Caenorhabditis elegans: one gene and its partner. The protein of the gene in region 1 interacts with the protein of each later gene in a pairwise test. Each region holds a gene or a part of one and is shown on either strand. Other genes may lie near its edges.

The links.
Region 2: the proteins of cdt-1 (region 1) and cdt-2 interact in a two-hybrid assay, tested with the Caenorhabditis elegans proteins (one study listed by BioGRID).

What each region holds. Positions count from the first base shown.
Region 1 is NC_003279.8:3,226,266-3,230,191, reverse strand, and holds the start of cdt-1 (CDT1 Geminin-binding domain-containing protein), read left to right. Parts: upstream 1-2,087; 5' UTR 2,088-2,224; coding exon 2,225-2,290; intron 2,291-2,349; coding exon 2,350-3,313; intron 3,314-3,926. Other genes in the region: txl-1 (Thioredoxin-like protein), read right to left, coding at 494-744.
Region 2 is NC_003283.11:14,988,937-14,992,862, reverse strand, and holds the start of cdt-2 (WD_REPEATS_REGION domain-containing protein), read left to right. Parts: upstream 1-1,736; 5' UTR 1,737-1,869; intron 1,870-1,943; 5' UTR 1,944-1,950; coding exon 1,951-2,067; intron 2,068-2,119; coding exon 2,120-2,264; intron 2,265-2,315; coding exon 2,316-2,510; intron 2,511-2,563; coding exon 2,564-3,022; intron 3,023-3,506; coding exon 3,507-3,926. Other genes in the region: T01C3.3 (RING-type domain-containing protein), read left to right, coding at 191-725, 821-978; T01C3.2 (Transcription and mRNA export factor ENY2), read right to left, coding at 1,290-1,427, 1,471-1,545, 1,592-1,675.

The DNA of each region.
Region 1 (3,926 bases):
TATCGGTTTCCAAATTAAATTTTTTTTAATTAATCAAAACAAGGCTCTGCAATTTTCAATATGCTATAATCCAACTTTTTGATCTAAACTTTATATAGGAATGTAATTTAAAAAAGGTCTGTTCCATGTGAAAAAATTATTTATTTTTTTTGAAAAATTTGAAATAGGCCTCGCACCATTTGAGGCCTTTTTCAAAATTTTCAACAAAAATAAATATTATTTTCAGATGGAACATAAATTTTTTCTACATTTCTATATCAATTTTAGATCAAAAAGTTGGATTATAGCATATTAAAAATGGCAGAGCCCTGTTTTGATTATCTTTAAAAAATTTAATTTGGAAACTCATAAATTTCTTGCAAATTGGCTCGTAAAACCTGCAAAAATCAATATTTTCAAGATATTCAAAATGAAATAATTTCTGAGACTTCACTTTTTTGCAATTTCTTCAAATTTCCCGCATTTCTATTCCAATTCCAGATGAGACCCATACCCGCTCTGGAAAACCATGAACGTTGGCATCGAATTGACACCGTTCTCTGAGCTGGTTTTCTCGCAGATCTCCACATCAACTTTCAGAAAAACTGCTCCAAGATATTGATTGGACAGAGCTTCAAATGTTGGAGCAATCATTTTGCACGGTCCGCACCAGACTGCAGTGAAATCGACAATCACTGACTTGAGACCAGCGAGGGAAAGCTGATTTCTGAAGTCTTCGTCGTCTTTCACGTTGATAACTGGCATGGTGTAGGGGAGATGGGCTGAAAATTAATTTAATATTTAGATTACTGCACTTATTTTTTTAAGGTGGTGTAGTCGAATTTTTTTAAAATTGCTTCATTAGACTCAAAATTGTCTCAAAACACCGAATTTCATGATGAAACTGCTTGAAAACTTCTCAAAAAAAGTTATGACTGCTCAAAAAATGGCCTAAAATTAGTTAAAATTTGAAATTAGACCGACTTTTCAAGCGGCTAAAAACTACCTTTTTTGAAATCACCGTCAAATTTTGAGTATATATAAAATGTAATTATCTTGCGTTTTCAACTCGATTTAGGTATTTTAAAGTCGATGGACGGCGAGATTTGGTTTAAAAAATTTAAAAATCTCGCCGTCCATCGACTTCAAAATATCTGAATCAAATTGAAAATGCAAGATAATATAATTGTATACTCAAAATTAGACGGTAATTTCAAAAAAGTTAGTTTCCAGCCGCTTGACAAGTCGGTCAAATTTCAAATTTTAACTAATTTTAGGCCATTTTTTGAGCAGTCATAACTTTTTTTGAGAAGTTTTCAAGCAGTTTCATCATGAAATTCGGTGTTTTGAGACAATTTTGAGTCTAATGAAGCAATTTTAAAAAAATTCGACTACGCCACCTTTAAAATACGGATTTTTAATCGAAAAATGCAAAATAATCTCAAAAAATGGGAAAAATCCCCAAAATCTAAAGAAAAATTAAAGAAAAAAATTGGGTTTTGAAAAAAGTTGTTATTTTGTAGTTGAATTTGTTGAATTTTTCCCGCTGAAATTCCAATTTTTAAGCTTTCGCATCATTTTTTTTGGGATTTCTGGCAAAAGCTATTGTAAATACTCCCGGAACAATGCACGAATATATTTTAGCTATTTAATACGCAGAAATTGTGAAATTTCGTTATTTTTTGGGCGATTTCTGGGGAAATTTTGACCGAAAAATTGTAATTTCTGGGATCACCGCTTCCAAAATTGTTCAGTTTATAGTTCTAGGAGCAAAAGATATCTCATTCAGAAGAAAAAACGAAAAAAAAATTTCAAAAAATATAGGAATCACGCCAATTTAAATAATTATTCATTAAAAAAAAGATTTTTTGAAGGTTTCCACAGTAAAATGCATTCATTCTCAAACTGATTTTTGGGTAATTTTGGGCATTTTACACGCTAAAATAGGTGAAAAGCACTTTTAAACGCTCTGAACACAATTTTAATATGCAAAAAATAGTATAAATTCCGGAAAATTAAGAAAATCGGCATGAAACGTGGATTTGTCAGCATTCAAAATGAATGCCGGTGCGGCGAGGGAGTGCACGAAGCGTGGAGACGCAGCGGACAACAAACGCGCTCCAATGGACAAAAAGTGCGGGAAACCGGGACTGTTCAAAGTGTACGCTTTGTCTGTCGTCTCTCCCATTTATTTTTTGGTTTTCGCGAATAATTTCGCTGAAATTATTATTTATTCCTGATAAAAATGAGTTCCCGGGTGACTAGATCCAGGTCCCAGACTCCGCAGACTGCTGTAACCGACTTTTTCAAGGTAAATTGGAGTTTGAAGTTATGAATTGCAATTATTTAATGTTTTTTTTTCTTTTTCAGACCACCAGAAAACCGAGAGCAAGAGGAGAAAAGAAGATTATCGATGAAAGCATCACAAAGACCACTACAATTAAAGAAGTACAAATTCCTGCTGCTCCAATCGTCGAGAATAAATCCTCCCGAACTCGCGCTCGGACTCCATCCCGTCAAGCGGAATTATCGAGTTCCGGAACTCCGCCAAAAAAAGCTAGAGAAGCTGAAGCAGAAGCCCCTGAGCTTCCCAAAATCCATGAAGATATTATTCTGGAAAATCCGGCTCCTCAGAAGTCAGCGATCGATAAGCTAATGGAAGCATCCGGCCCAGCGAAAAAGAAGGCTGGAATTCGAACTGTTGCAGATTTACAAGCAAGAATAGCTGCAAAAGGAGCAGCTAAAGCGATTCATGAGCAAAATTTGAAGAACAAAACGAAGCAGGTCGATGATCACGTGGAATTGCTGAAATCTCCGAAGAAACCAGTTATTGTTGAGCATCACAAATCACCTCAGAAATCCAAGGCCGCTCGTAATCTGTTCTCACCGAAGAAGCCAGTTCCAGACTATATTATTCCCGGCTTTAATGTCCTGAAATCGGCCGAAAAAGTTCGCGGAGAGCAGGATGATGCTCACGAAGAAGAGGGAAAACGAATGACTGCAGAGTTTCTGAAGAGCTCACGGCTTATTGATGAAGTTAAGGAGAGTGCACGTCAACGGATTGAACTTCCAACTGCGTATGAACATCTCGCTGATACTTTCAAACGAATCGATCAGATCACTGCGATCTTTATCGGTCAGAATCGAAGCTGTGTGGTTCCTGAGTTGATCAAGAATGTTAAGAATACGTCTGGAAAGGATTTTTCCAATGAACATTTGTCACAAATTCTTCATGTATATCCTCAATCATATCATATTGAGATGCGTGAACAGCGAAAAGCATTCGGCCAGGGCGGGAAGTATGAACTTGAGGTTCGACCGAATCTCGTGGAAGGTTCGTAGCTTTCGGTTGGCAATTTGCAATAAAAACATTTAAAAAATCAGCTATTTCTGACGTATTCCATTAAAATTTAGTGTCAGAAAATAGAAAAAATATTATATTAATCGTAAAATAGCATTCTTTTAAGTTTAAAAAGACTTATCGATTTTTCTTCTCTGTTTGATCACCTCCACACATTTTTGAACTCGAAAATATTTAACGATTAATAAAATATTTCTCTATTTTTTAACAGACCCTATTCATGCTCCTGATACTGATTTTTGATGTGAAAATTTTTCAAAAAATTCAAAAAAAAAGCCCTGGTTTTATATTAATTTTTGGAAATTCTAAAAATACTAGCTTTGCTCAAAAAAAAACTGAAAAAAAACACAATTTTCTCTTCAAAAAGTAAGAAAAAACACAGCTTTTTACCAGATGTTCGAAAAAAAAACTTTTTTGTTTAAAAAATCCAAAAAAAAAACAATTTTTTAGTAAAAAAATTCGAAAAAACTCAATTTTAAGAAAAAAATCCGGGAAAAAAACACCGTTTTTTAGTCATAAAATCGGAAAAAAGATAATTCTTTATTCAAAAAATCCGAAAGAGCTCAATTTTTTAGTCATAAAATCC
Region 2 (3,926 bases), on another chromosome or scaffold:
AGCGTTTCTGAGTGTTTTCGGCGCATTTCTGGTTTTTTTGGAGTTTACAGCCTTTTTCAGAAATTGTTTCACTCGATTTTTCTATTTTTTCTGTGCATATATGCACAGAAAAAATATATGGTTTCCATTTTCCGAGTATCTTCAAATCTGCGTTTTGATTTTTTACTTTTCATTCTAATTTTCAGGTAAGATGTCGTCTAGTGGCTCTCCACCTTCCACGCTTGTATCGACTTTCGAGGAAGCAATTGCGAAGTTGACCTCACTTTTTGGCATGATGCGCATGATGGAAGCAGAAATTAAGGATCAGCGGAACAATCTTCAAGCATTGAAAAATTCCCAGCGCCTGTCTGTCAGAGGAAGCATTCAGTCAAATATGTCGAGCAGGACGGATGGAATTCTTCAACGAAGACTAGATGAGACGGAGAGAAAGTTGGCCAAAACTTCAGCCGAACTCAAGGCCAAAGATGAGAAGTTGAAGAAGGAGACGGCAAGTCTTGAAGCCAGTCGTGAGGCTCATCGATTATTGCAAGAAGAATCGAACAAGTCGAAGGTGTCTGTGATGCGCCTTACGTTCAAGCTCAATCGCATCACACATGAATCTGTGAAAGAGCAGGCTGTTCTGAAGAAGAAGCTTCTGGACTGCGAGACCCGACTCGCTACATATTCCGAGTGCCTCGTCTGCTACCAGAAGTTTGACGAGAACACAAGAATTCCACGTGTCATGGGTGAGTAAATAAACGGATTTAAATGCTTGCTTGATTATAGATTATTAAGCTGAACTCTTATCAATTTCAGTCCAATAATTCTATCAAATTTTCAGACTGTGGACATACTCTGTGCGACTTCTGCATCAATCAGATTGTCAAGATGGCGGGTTGCTACAGCGCAACATGCCCTTTTGACCGTGTGCGCATTTTTGGATTTGGGAAGAGTCGTCGTCTCGAGGATCGCCCTTGCAATCGATTCATCATGAAATAACTGCTCCCATTTCTACATTGAAGACTCACTTATTGTATTGTGAATACTCTTATGTACATTGTTTTATCGAGAATTTGTAAATAGTATTATACTTGCACCTCTAACCTTTTTTTGCACCTTTAACCTATTTTATTTAGATTTCGTTTACAAAAAAGAAACAATAAACATTTCATGTCATGTTTTTCCTCAAATTCTCCGTTCTGTTATTGGAATTTACACCGATGAGAATCATGTTGCGTTCAATTTTTTATTGAAGAAATTTTACAAAATATAATGAGATCACAGTTGATTTCTTTCCTCGTAAAAGCGAATCATTTCTTGTTAGTAGTTGTGACGAATTCGAGAACTTGATCGTAGAGCTTCTTCTTTGCTTCTTGTGGAATTTCCCTTCTCGCCATATCCTTGACAGCATCGAAAACCTCCTTGGCACTCACGTCATCTCTGGCTTTCTGAAAAATGAGAATTAAGCGATTATGTTTGAACGAAACTGACCTCCAAGAACTTCTTCACTTCTTTCCTCACAGCGATCTCCCATTCACTATTTTGCAGACTGCTGAGTAATGTACTCTAAATTTATTGGAATTATGCCACCGAATTTTACGAATTTACTCACTTTTACAAGCGCCGACTCTCCACTGTCTTGAAATTCCATTTCGATCTGCTCTGGCTTCTTACGCATGATCAGGTCGTCGTTCATTTTTCTTTTTTTTTAGTTTTCTGAAAATTAACATAATTAATAAAATAAAACAATGCTTTACAGCAGATTTTAAAGAGAAAAACGAAGACATACACAAAGAAAGAATATGTAAAAGGTGTGTCGATTTACGATAAACAACACGCGGGCGCAATAGTGGAGTGTCGTAAGATCCGCGAAAAATGTGAATTCGAAAGGTTTCTTTTTTCTACCATTTTATAGTATTTTCTACCATTTTATCATTTTCTCAACTAAATTTCACTTTTTTCAGATAAAATATGGATTTTCTCCATTCAACAAAAGCTAGAAAAAGATATCTTCGATATCCATCATCAATATATGAAGAATTAGAATCAAAACATTATTCTATGCCGGCCGGAGAAACCGATGATCACGTAAGATTTTGCTGAGGAATACGCTGATAATTTCATAAAAATAGTATTTCAGGACACTTGGGTAACAGCCAGGTTTTCGCCTCACTTGAATCAAGAGCACATTTTGTACATGGGAGATGATCCGGGAAATATAGGAATTTTCGATGTTCGCAAGTTTCAAGATCGATCAGTGCCTTTGGAAGAACGGCAACTTTATTGTGATCTGAGCATACCTTGATTGAGGAATTTAAAAATCAAAAAGATTTCAGTTTTTCCCGCTCACGATGGTGCAATTATGGACGTTGTAGGTGTTCCCCAAAAGGAATCGCAAATTGTTTCAATATCTGGAGATTCTACTATTCGATGTTGGGATTTAAATCAATCTACGTTGGATCGAAAGTCCCAAGTGTTTTTTGGACACGAAGGATCTGTACGGTCGATCTGTTTCGCTCCGGATGATCCTAGTAAGTGTTTTTGATATTTTAAAAAATTTTTCGTGATAAAAATTTAATTCCAGACGTTTTTGTGACCGGTGGACGTGATTTCCAAGTCAAAATCTGGGATATGCGAGTATCCACAGTGAAGAAGATGGAAGAAGATTGTCGAATGGCAACTATCACATACAAGACTGCACATCCAAAACCATCAAAAGTATTAACATCAGGAACTCCTAAATCAAAAGCAAAAGCGAAAACGATAGAAGGTTATAAAGTGACAAGTGTTCTTTTTCTTGATGAGCATCACGTGGCAAGTGCTTCAGAAAATGCAGATAGTGGAATACGAGTCTGGGATATTCGAAAACCGACAAGAAACGGAGAAGGCCAGCCAGCCAGAATTCTAAAAGTTCCCACATCCAACAAAAAATCGTATGGGGTGACTTGTCTGACATTAGATCGTTTTGGTAATCGACTGTTTGCGTCATGCACCGATTCTTCAATTTTCGAGTACTCCGTTCCATCGGAGTCTGTTTCACCGAGTAAGGTTTATCGAATTTGGGTAGAAATCTCAGAAGAGAAAATCAGATTTATTTTTTAGCCGCGGCAAATCTACAAATTTTTTCATTAAAATTTAGTGATAGAGTATAAAAAATCATTTGATTCATATGAAAGTAGCTTATTTTTTAGCTGGGACAATTGAAAAAGTGCTCAAAAATCGCCGTTTGCCGAATTTTCCGGTAATTTTCAAGACAAGTTTTGAGCACTTTTCAATTTTTTTCGACTAAAATTATAGCTAATATCAGAAAATTCAAATTTTTTTTGCCATATTTTAGCACTAAATTTAATGAAAAATACTAGAAGAACATGCCATACTAGCCAATTTTGTAGAATTTCTGGTATCTCATCAATTGAGAAAGTCACAAACAAATAAAAGCATTACTTTGTGGCATTCCATGTCTTGTGCTTCAACCACGTTGCCGACACATGTTCTCGATCAATACACAAAAAACCTTGAACTTTCAGTTAATTCCTACACTGGCGCCACCATTCACAACTTTTATACCCAAGTCGCCTGCTCTCCGGTTTCTGATGTGATCGCATGTGGAAGTGAGGATAGTCGGGCTGTTGTTTGGGATCTTCAGGATCAATACAACTACATGAATGATCGAAAACTTCCGGATGATATTGACAAGCGGAGAACGAAACTTCCGCGATTTTCCTGCGATGGTCATCTTAAGCAAGTGTTGAACGTCGGATGGAGTTCTCGTGGAACATATTTCATGTCTTGTGATGAAGGAGGCGTCCGAATCTGGTCAGAGCCTAGGAATAGATGTACATGGAAGTTGAATGACGAAGATGATACCTCTTACCCGACTACTTCCCAGGAGCTCGGACTTTCATACGAAAAAATCAAGAAATTTGAGCTAAAAGAATCTGATGAAG